Saccharomyces cerevisiae S288C: one gene and its partners. The gene in region 2 interacts genetically with the main gene of each other region. Each region holds a gene or a part of one and is shown on either strand. Other genes may lie near its edges.

The links.
Region 1: mutations in LDB19 (region 2) and SSH4 impair growth when combined (synthetic growth defect), as found in Saccharomyces cerevisiae (2 studies listed by BioGRID, with this or other methods).
Region 3: mutations in LDB19 (region 2) and ROG3 impair growth when combined (synthetic growth defect), as found in Saccharomyces cerevisiae (one study listed by BioGRID).

What each region holds. Positions count from the first base shown.
Region 1 is NC_001143.9:208,846-212,602, reverse strand, and holds SSH4 (Ssh4p), read right to left. Parts: upstream 2,011-3,757; coding exon 271-2,010; downstream 1-270. Other genes in the region: signal recognition particle subunit SRP21, read left to right, coding at 1-108; RRN3 (rDNA-binding RNA polymerase I transcriptional factor), read right to left, coding at 2,473-3,757. UniProt on the Saccharomyces cerevisiae protein: Components of the endosome-vacuole trafficking pathway that regulates nutrient transport. May be involved in processes which determine whether plasma membrane proteins are degraded or routed to the plasma membrane.
Region 2 is NC_001147.6:919,299-923,055, forward strand, and holds the start of LDB19 (Ldb19p), read right to left. Parts: upstream 1,765-3,757; coding exon 1-1,764. Other genes in the region: PRO2 (glutamate-5-semialdehyde dehydrogenase), read right to left, coding at 2,237-3,607. UniProt on the Saccharomyces cerevisiae protein: May be involved in protein-linked oligosaccharide phosphorylation since the deletion reduces the negative charge of the cell surface.
Region 3 is NC_001138.5:194,833-198,589, reverse strand, and holds the start of ROG3 (Rog3p), read right to left. Parts: upstream 1,758-3,757; coding exon 1-1,757. Other genes in the region: phosphoinositide binding protein ATG18, read right to left, coding at 2,276-3,757. UniProt on the Saccharomyces cerevisiae protein: Involved in resistance to GST substrate o-dinitrobenzene (o-DNB).

The DNA of each region.
Region 1 (3,757 bases), on a different chromosome or scaffold from region 2:
ACTGCTACAGAACCGAAGCAAAAAGCTAATGCTGTGCAAAATAACAATGGTAACTCTGCAGCTTCAAAAAAGAAAAAAAATAAAAACAAGGGCAAAAAAAAGCGTTAAATATTTCATGTATACTAGGAGATTGAATATGAAATAAAATACTATATATATATATTTAGATATAAACCCATCTAAACTATCGAATTGAAGAAAAAAAAGCTAGTAGGAATGTATATATTGTGTATGCGTAAATTGTAAAAAAAACCAAATTCATAATGTCTCTTATTTTCTCGATCTGTTCTTCTTTTTAGAAGATTTGCCTCTGTTTCTTTGACGTTTTTTAGTAGATTTATTTCTAGGGTTCTTATTGATAGCTCCATCTGATACTTCACGGGGGGTATTTGAATTTTCCGGTCTTTTATTGCCATCATCTTCCAATAATGGCGAATTTTCATTGCAACCAGCGTTCTCATCGTTGTTATTAACATTGTTATCGGTGTTGTTATCGTCGGTTTCAAGACTGTCGTGGTAAACATTATTTTCTCTGTCAAAGTTAGAAGAGATTCTTTCATACGTCCCAACAGACCACAGGGGCTTACTAGTTTGCGCCGTTATCCTAGAGGATGACCCTTCTTTTACCTTCATACTACCAAAGAAATTATCAGTGTCAGCATATCTTGGTGGCAATTCTTCTCCTTTCTGTAAAATAGTATCCTTCTTGATCTCGGTTCCATTATACGCAGGAGGAATTCCAATTTGGCCATAAACACTCCCAAACGCATATTTTTTCACATTGGCTTCTATAAAGACGAACCCAACTTGGCCCAAATTAACATGTAATTCAACCTCATCTGACGTCATTTCATCACTTTCATCATGTGGATCGTGAACTCTTTGAAGATCTTTGGCGACTTCAATATCTTTGCCTTCAGAGAGAGCTTCACGGAAGCTAACATTATCCGGGTCTTCCAATAGACCATCCCTCGTATATGTTCTTGTATATGCGGCATTAAACGCGCCAATTCCAATGAAAAGATCAATGCCAATATTTTGTGTTACATCCATTAATTTTTTCCCATTATGTGTAATGAAGATTGTACCTGTTTTATATCTGTAACCGAATCCTACCGTGTCACCTTCTTCCAATTTTGGTAATAATGTGCTGGCAGTGAAGGGGTTATTTATCCTCAGTTTACCTGTGGATTCGTATGCAATGGAGTATTTGGCCATGCCCGGTACCCTGAAATAAGGATATGGTACAGTAGTCAAACCTATACTGAATATACTATTGGACTTTTGAATATGTCTGAAAATTTTAACTTCGAAATACACTGCGTCCTTCCTATTGTGAGGTAGGGGATAGTTCATTACAGTGGATGAGCTCTTATTGAACTTTGAAAATTGAATATCTAGTTTATCCTGGACAATAAAACTGGGTAGAAAGTTTCCATATTCGTCTATATTATCATTAATGCTTGGTAGCAAAAAATAGCTTTGAATGCCACGATCCTTAATAAACTGCTGGTCGTCACTGTCCAAATACGTGCCAAAGTCCTTCACCATTGGCGGGCTCATCATTTGAAACTCTTTCGCTCTTATATACAACTCAACCTCGTACGCTGACATCTTTGGTAATTCTTCAAGTTCTCTTTCCTGAAGAACGATCTCATCATCAAACCCGCCAGGGGATGCAAAACTCGAATCCAACAAGATGCCACTATGTTTTTTACCAAACAAAGAGTGCAGAGTTCCTGAAGTTCGTGTACCTAAGGCGTTCTCTTCGTCGTATTCTGATTCATCATCACCACAAAAGGTGACATATGCCGCTATTACTACCAAGATGAGCATTAATATTGCAAACGTAATAGAAAGACTTATTAAGAAAGCCAAACTAATTGCTGCAGAATCTGAATCCATAGGGGGAGTTGGTACCATGTTAGGGTCACCTACTTTGAAGTCATGATTCGGACTCTCTAGATTACCAAAAGAACTATCCAAAGCCTCATTAAAAGTGACATACATTGCTCTTGTATACCTTCAAGTTTTTTTCTTCTTCCTAGTTACAAATAAAATAGATGAAAAAAGAGCTATTACTGCTTGTTCTGTTTATTTCGATTAATAATACCCACTATTGACTTTACTGAATATAAATATGTGCCAAGTAATCTAAGTACAAGCTGTTCGGATAGCTGAGATTTTGACTCAGGAACCCCTCCCCACAGAAACTCTTTAATAAGTAGACCTGCGAATGTAAAGCGCGCACGTAGTAAGTGACGAGAACAAACAAGCGTTCTAAAATGCAAAATATCGTGAAGAGTACACTGTGGAAAATAAAAATACTAAGTTTCTATAGTATCTAGAAATCTAAAAAATGTGTTAAATGCATTTATGCTATATATCCTCATTTCAACTATTAATGGGGTGACTACAGTGTATCATTAGTTTGTGACGGGCATGTCTCGAAGATACCTATGAAAAAAGACCTTAGTCATCCGACCCATCACTTTCATATTCCCCGCTTGCTTCACTCCACTCTATGTAGTATTCCTTCATTAAAATTTTATAGTTTTTCAGAAACAAAGGATCATATGGGAAGTAACTCTGTAAGTCAATAAATTGTTGTCGAGTGGCTAAAGACCAAGAAGACGATGTGGTATTTGCTTGTGCGGAATTTTCCTTCTTGTCGCTATCAGCTTTGCCGATGATTCCCCTCAATCTTTCATTGTTGTTATTTTCAATTATGCTGAAACAGTACGCGACGCTTTCTTGTTGGGCAATACGAGCAAACATCAACATGACATTTTCATTACAAAACTTTAATGGGTTAAATTTTGAAATGACCATTCTTTGAAAGAATTTGTCCAGTTCACACTCCCAGTTACCATCTGTATCTCTGAAGATGTTATGTCTGAAACAGAAAATGTAACAAAGTGCTTGAAATGCTGCATAGAAATGTTTAAACCTTTCCATACCTCCACGTTGATCAACTTCTTCTTCTCTTTCGATAACGTATCTATTCAACCAGGACGTTAAATAGCTTGCAACGAAAATAATTTGAGTTCTGGATAGTTTCTTGGCCCTCGCAATGTACGACCCCAAATATTGTAATGACTTAATTTTCTTCTCTGCTGCTTCGTTGACGGCAAACGAAATATCTATCAGTGTCACTAAAAATGAATCCATTAGTTCTAATTGTTGTTGTGAAACATGGAACATGATATATTGAATCGACCTGGTATAGTACGTGGGTAGAACATGCGTTTTAAATAATGTTGTTAGAGTGTTGAAGACTCCTACGCCTTCACCGCTTTCTAAACTCTCCGGCGTCACTTGCTCTTCCACATGCGTGCTTACCAAAGTTAAGATAGAGTCCAATTTGGTGGAAAGTTCTTTGATTCCCTGCGTCAACTCCACATTATATTCTTCAGTACCGTCCATACCTTCAATGATGTCCATATCTTCACTATCACTTTGACTACCGTCGGCTGCTCCAGACCTTAACTCTTCATTACTGTTCCCACAATTTTCATCATCATCGTCTCCTGAATCATCATCTAAATCGTCGTCATCCTCTAGATCAACTTCCTCTAGATCATCGTCATCTACATCATCATCTAATTCATCTAATTCATTTTGTAACTCGACATCAATCGAAATAATCTTTTCTATCAGTAAGGACCAAATTTGGAATCCTAGCTCAGAGCAGTAGCCTCTCAATTTCAGCAAATTTGAAGTGTAATTAACCAACTTTCTCCGAGTATCATTTTTA
Region 2 (3,757 bases):
AACATTCATCGTATTGTTATTAGTTTCTTTCTTGTTTTTGGAGTTTGGTTTCCGTATAGGTTGCCCATTGGCATATTGCAATGTTTCTTCTGCAACAACTATTTCCACTGCCAAGATGTGGCTTACATACAAACCTAAATTTGGATCCTGTATATCGCAAGCCACATTGATGCTGGGCTTCTTATTGCCCGTGGAAGGAGTTTGTAGTGTCGATGCATGCATTACCGGATTAGAGACGCCTGAATTAAGTCCCATACAATCTATTTCTGTAACTAGCTCAATCTTTCCATTATTGTCAAAATCGGTTTTCCATCCACTCTTCATTTCTCCCTTAGATATTATCCGAACCTCTTCCGTAAATAAACTACTGTTGTTTTTTAGCTCTTGTTGAAGTTGTTGTTGTCTTGCGCGTTGTTGCTGCATTAGTAACTCCTGACGCAAAGCGTCGTCACTGGGATGGATGAATTCGCTACCGGGTTGGTCTTCCTCATCTTCATTAACAGGATTTTCATCATCAAGTCCAACATTACCAGTTGACGCTGGACCCGAAGAATTAGGTGCTTGTTCACGACCGGGCTCGCCTGGAAGCCTTTGCGACGGCATATTTTCTAAAGAGTTTACTGCAACCCGGATTTGTGGGCCTAGTTCACCATAACGCTTAATATGACTGCGTGGCTTTTTACTTTTTTCTGACTCTTTTATTTTAACCTGCTCTTCTAACTGCCTCAATTCATGCTTGTGCACTGGACAAGCATGTGCTTTAACTCTTGTAGTTTCTTCAATTCTCCAACTCAATTTACGCATTCGCCATCTCCTATCCCCCGAAGAAACACCGTCTAATTTCATCTCCAAAGGAAAAGTAGATTTAGGATATACAACATTAGGAAGAACAGCAGCAGCAGTTAACTCTGTAGGAGGAAATACTCTTAGAGAATTCTTATCAGGCCCGCGCGGTATACTTCGAGTCACGGCGATGGGCATCGCTAGTTGCAACAACCGCTTCTTAGAAGAGCTTCCTTCTTTCCTGGGAGTAGAATGACCGGAAGAAAAGGAATTTCTATGAGGATCTATATACGTCACAACAGCGATAAGTTCGTATTTGACCTGGGTTTCAGCCGTAGCACCTAGCGATGAAGAACATGGGACAGACCCCGGTATAAGATAGGAAAATGGGTAAGAGTGGCTTCCAACAGAAAGATCCTGGGTATTACTCTGAATTTCCCAGCTTTTCATGTTTGTAATCTTTGTTTTACAGTTCATACAGGTTTGCATTGAGGAAATATTAGGCACAAAGGGTTTATGGAAATGGATCTTCTGTACCAAACTTAGTGTTACCGACGTAATGGTGATCTTGGTATAACCAGCCATTATTCTTAAATTAGCAGGCGTGGGAGAATGCGATATGGATGTAGAAGATGTTGAAGGAGAGATATTTGACGTCGACGCTGACAAGCTGGACAATCTAGATGAAAGTGCAGAACCAAATGTACTCTTTCTTTTTAGGCTTTTAGAAGTAGTCGACACATTAGATTCTGTATTCTTTAAAGATTTATCTTCAGCACTACTGTAGGGATCGACAACCGTCACAGTAAAAAGTCCACTTAGCACAGCACCTGAGGATTCCATAGCAGACCCATAAAGAACACATGGCGGTGATTCTACATCAATAGAAAGGGTTAGTGGAAGACTTTGTCCTTTTTTGTTGCTATTACTGTAGCCGTTATGATTGGACTGATGAGTAGATGTAAGACGTGAAAATGCCATGGTAAAACGTATTGTTTAGTGAAATGTATACTAAGTAGGAGTAAAAATCAGCAATTTCTGGTGTTGAAATGTGAACAACAGCGTTCTCCTCCGAAAAAGCAAGCTATAACGTTGCTCAACTTTTGATTCCGAAATCAGAAGCTTAAATAAGGAAAACTGAAAGCTAATTGGATGAAGCACACAAACTTAATCAACCTTATTATTCAAAGTATTCGGAGCCCTAGTAAAAACTGCCTATGATATGTATGAGTCGTGCTTTTCCGTCTGGTTTAATAAGTGTTCGAGTCAGCTCAAATCGCATTTTTGTCTTGAAGCTTCCGCCAAAAGAAAAAAAAAGTCGTTAATAGCGATACAAGTAAGCAATTAACTATCACACCATAGAATGAGTTGACAAGAGTACTTATTTGATGGCTTTACTGAACTATGTATACACGTCCTTCATACATGGAACTTAGCTTTATCCTAAAAATTTTTATAATGTCACAGTCTTTATATCTAAATCCTTGTGAACAAAAGCTTTGTTACCACCAGCACCAAGGTAGTCACTAGCAACCTGGCCGTCACCTCTTATTTGGTATTGATAACTCACCAGACCGTCCAAGCCAACTGGACCACGGGCGTGAATCTTAGAGGTAGAAATACCCACTTCAGCACCAAAACCGTACCTGAAACCATCGGCAAATCTAGTTGATGCATTCCAGTAAACACCAGAGGAGTCGACACCCTTCATAAATTTTTCAGCGTTTGCTTTATTTTCCGTTACAATAGCGTCGGTATGTCTCGAAGAGTGTGTATTTATATGTTGAATGGCCGATTCTGTAGATGTAACAAACTTGGCAGCCAAATCCAAGGATAAAAATTCCTTATCAAAATCTTGCTCCTCATCAGCATCAACGGTTTTGCATTGAATTGCTTCTGTCAATTTCCCTAACTCATTCAGTTTATCAAAATACGCAGTTTTCAAATCTTTTGTAGCGTGGATAGTCACTCCGCCTTCCAAAGTTAAGTTTTCCAGAACTTCCCACCACTTAGAGAATTTTGGGTTAATCAACAACGTTTCCATAGCGTTGCAACCAGCTGGGTAGTTAGTCTTTGCATCCAAACTAATTCTTTTTGCCTTAATCAAATCTGCGTCTTCATCCAAGTAAATTGAGCAGATACCATCCGCATGACCCAACACGGGAATTTTTGTAGTGTCCTTGATTTTTCTGACTAAGGCATTGGAACCACGAGGAACAACTAAGTCGATGTACTCATCTTGATCCAACAAGTCGGAAACATCCTGTCTGGTTTCGATCAATTGCACAGAGCCCACAGGAACACCAGTCTCACTTTGGAATTGTGCAATGGTGTCGTTAACGATCTTTGCCATTTCTCTGAACGTGTTCACAGACTCTTTACCACCCTTCAAAATTGCAGCATTACCAGACTTGATACTCAATGCGGTAATATTGGCAATAACTTCTGGACGGGATTCAAAGATAACTAACAAAACGCCGACTGGAGCGGTTACTTGGTACAACGTCAAGCCATCATCTAATTCCCTGGCCATTTTAACCTTGCCAACAGGGTCTTCTAGTTCGGCTACATCCTTAATACCTTGTAACATAACTTCAAATTTGTCCCCTTTAAATAGGTCGAGACGTTTCAATAAAGAATCCGCTAGGCCAGTCTCTTTGGCAACAGCTAAATCGATTTTATTCGCTTCTTCAATGGCATGCGCATTAGCCTTCAGGGCATCGTGAATTTTGTATAAAATATCTGATCTGCCCTCGTTTGAGATGGTTTTCAAAATATTCCCTGCTTTACGGGCATTTTTGGCTATTTGTTGTGAACTGGACATCTTTATATTGGTTGCCTGTGCTCCTTTTTGTTCTTACTCTTTTTACCAATACGCTTTTACTTTTTCTCTTCTTTTCTTGAAGCTTTTTGAAAAACGTCTGTCGACTTTTTTCATTTTTTGACTCATTGACCCAACGCCACAAATGAACAA
Region 3 (3,757 bases), on a different chromosome or scaffold from region 2:
GACACGCTTGGGGCTGGGGATCTTGAAAGTAAAACAGGTGATACGTTACTATGTACTCCTGGCACAGAGCCACTATTGGGACCAAGAGCACTCTGAGGTAAGATTCTCTCCGTGCCATCCTCTGGTGCTGGAACGTTTAGTAATGGAGATAGCGATCTGGAAGCGGCAGCAGACGAGGCAGACGGTGGTAGCCCTAGATTGTCACGTTGATTTCTAATTTTTGTCAACCGTATACGTAAATCTTCTAAATCCTGTTGCTGATCCTCGACAGTCGAACATTCGCTTCCCAAAGGAGTACATGTTCCAGACGTTTCCACAGCCGTGCGAGTGAAAGAACCGCTATAAAGACGATCATATACGTGCATTTCATAATTTGGGGGCGTCATCAAGTCTGAAATGGTAGGAACAGAGCCACCGCTACGCATATCCGCTAATAATTCCAACCCTGTGACTGATGCTGATCTAGAAAACAGATATTCCTCTTCCTCTTCTTGTGATGAGTTTTCGTCTTTCTGGTTAGTGGTGCTAAAAAGCGAATACAAATTCGAGGATGACAATGGTTTTATTGAAAGTGCCACAAATGGTGAAATAAAAAGTTGAATCGGTAAGGACGCTCTTAACTCAGATTTATGACCATCTGGGTTAATTAGGATGATGAAAAATTTGAGCTTATGGCGAACCTTAATGTTAGAGCGGACATCACAATCTTGCACACAGTTTGATAAGCTGTTCGGGATTTGCAGGATGGTATCAATCTCCCACTTGTCTTGGAATGAATGATCAGGCTGAAAAAAGGGGTTATTTACAAAGCAACCATTACCATTAAATTCTCCAGATGACTCGTTCAAGGGATCTTCAAGATTTAGTTCTGTCACTTGCCTATTTTCAGAAATTACTGGAGGGAAGGGGTCACAATATTGATAATTCTCAAATAATACGACTTTGATTGAGCCCAATTTCAAACCTTTCGAAAGAGGTACAATGGAAATATTTATAGGGGTGGCTGAACCAATAGCTACGGCTTTGTTGGGTACTGAAATAGAATAATCCACTTTGTCGGGCCATGAGTTATCTACACAAACAGTTTCTGATAACTCCACTGCTGCGGGTGAAATGGTTCTCAGAACTCTAATATTTTTCCTACAGATCAAATCACTATAATTTTTGCTGCGTTCAATAACGGATTCCATGCTATATGTCACGAAGCAATTTGGCAAAGATTCTACGCTCTCTGGTAACGAACCAGGCAAAATAGCACTAAAGGGAAAATCGTAGTTGCCCTTATCTAAAGTACATGAAGAGGGTGAGGAGGACCCCTTTAAAGACTTCAAGGAACTTGTGGACTGAGCTCTTTGGCGAGTGCCCAAGATATTACTTGATGAGCTACTGCCCGCAAGGCCAGATTGCCCTCTTAAACCACTCAGATACTCCTTGAGGTTAACATTATCCCATGCGTAATTATAAAAAACTTTGTTGTACTTTCTGATCTTTGGCGGCGATGAAGACAACGACGAAGAACTAGCGTCCTGGGGCCTCTCTAATGGTACGTCTATTTGTATCTTCCCATAAAGTCTCAATGATATGCTTTTGATCTGCATGGGTTCGTTAATCGATAAAACGATGCAACCAGATAAAAGCACCGAGGGGGCCTCGTTTGGAGGACCTTTGAGGAGTATTACATCGTTGTCAACATTTTTAAGTCTGATATCGAAAAGCAGAGGCTTTTTCTTAGTTGATTTACCGCTACTGAAGCCCATGTCGAACTTTTTGTATTTTTATTTTGCTAAGAGAGCTGCCTCTATGTAGCAACAATAGATATTGGCTCTTTATCAACGCCAATTATATAAACGAAAATAGCAAAAGGGTTTATACGCACTTTAAAACACCCTGATTCATCTATTAGCCGTATAGAGAATATACCGCATCACAAGTGATTTACCCGCGTGAAGTTAACTCTTCCGAGGAATCAAATACCAACTGATCCAAATTCGTAATCAACAGGGCTAAGCCGGAAGGAGGCTTCGTAGCGTAGTAACGTCACTCCAGTGATCCTTTTTCGACAAACAAATACTCGATCCATGAAAGCCATTTTTTTGAATTTTTATATCGAAAATTTCCCCTTTAGGCGAGTTCTATTGTTTTAAATAAAAACACCGCAACAAGATAATGGTGACGAAAATATTATGCAAAAGGATAGATTATACGCAGGAGTTTATATAAACTATATTGTGTATGCGTTGTGACGTACGGAAGGCAGCGCGAGACACTTCCGTGATCAATCCATCAAGATGGAATACTGTGACAATATTAAGCAATCGCCGCCTCTCTCCGGGTCCATAACAAAGTTGTATAGGTATCCATCCGAGGAAACGACCCTGATGGGGACCATCTTCATAACAGGCTCATGGTAGGACTCTGTACTTGCGGAATTGCCAGTTTCGAAGAGTTCCGGATACTCGGATGTGTCTATATCTATTGGAGAGCCTATACTTGATATGGTCATTACATGGGAATTGGTTTCAACGGGAAGTTTCAAAGACGCAAAATGGCGCGAGGATTCCAACAACGATGTAACTTTGATGGGGAAAATCTGACCCAATGTTCTGGCAGCTCTTCGGGATAGCTTTTGAGAAGAGTAACGTATCATCCTACCCATTGTCTTTCTTGATGCATCCACATATGGTTCTCTTGCGAGTCTTGTCGGGTTTTCCTCGTCACTCAGCGCATCGATACTGGTGGTATCGAGCGATGAATCATCGGCTGCAGCTTCTTCCATGTTGCTATCATCGCTGTCTAGTTTATTGTTGCTCATTGAATGCCCCAATTTGAAGATATGCACGGTTTTGGAAGAGCCGGTAACCGCCAAGTACTGGCTATCTTCACTGAATGATATGGAGTAAATTCTTGTCGCGTACGTCCCTCTCCTGAATTGGTAGATCTTATCACCCGTTTCAATGTCAAAGACCCTGATGATAGTACCTTTATCAGAGGCGGTAGCCATTAGTGTCCCATCAAAACTAATTGCCATTGCAGCAATCTCGCCCTTATGAGCTTCGATGACCATGGTTGGCTGTAATGTTTCCAAGTTGAATACGATCACATCACCATTCTTTATTATACTGCTGTTACCGCCGTTACTGCTTGTTGGATCCGCATCATCCCTCTTAGTAAAGCTCGAATACTGATCCAAGTCGCTAATGTCACTATGGCCAGCATCTTGCTGATCTCTCTTGAAACTGGTCTCTGTGTTGCCACCAACTGACAATGTGATATTGTTTGTGGTGGCATGAGCTTTAATTTCGGAGTTAATAACTTTTGGTGGTGATGGATACACTAAATAGCTGTTGGCTACCGAAGGAGACATAGCCATAAGGCCACGTGGGTTAGGGTTTGTTTCTATAGTATGCAATAGTCTCATGGTGTTGATATCATAAATATAAATCTGCTCTTGTAAAAGTACCACCAATCGAGACTTATTCATTTTCACACTCAGAATAGAAGTAGGGAAAGTCACCTCACAGATAATAGAATGTTTTTTTGTGTTGATTATACGCAATCTCCTTGGTGAAAGCGCAGGTTGATCGCCTATCCCAACGAGGGCTAGTAACGAGGTGGAGAACAACATCTCGACGATAGCATAGCCCCCACTGTCCTCTGAATAAAATTTTCCGAAGGGCTCACAATTGAATATTTTGAAACCTTTCGACGTTCCAAGGGAAATACACGTTCCGGTTTGATTGAAATTAATAAAGTTGAT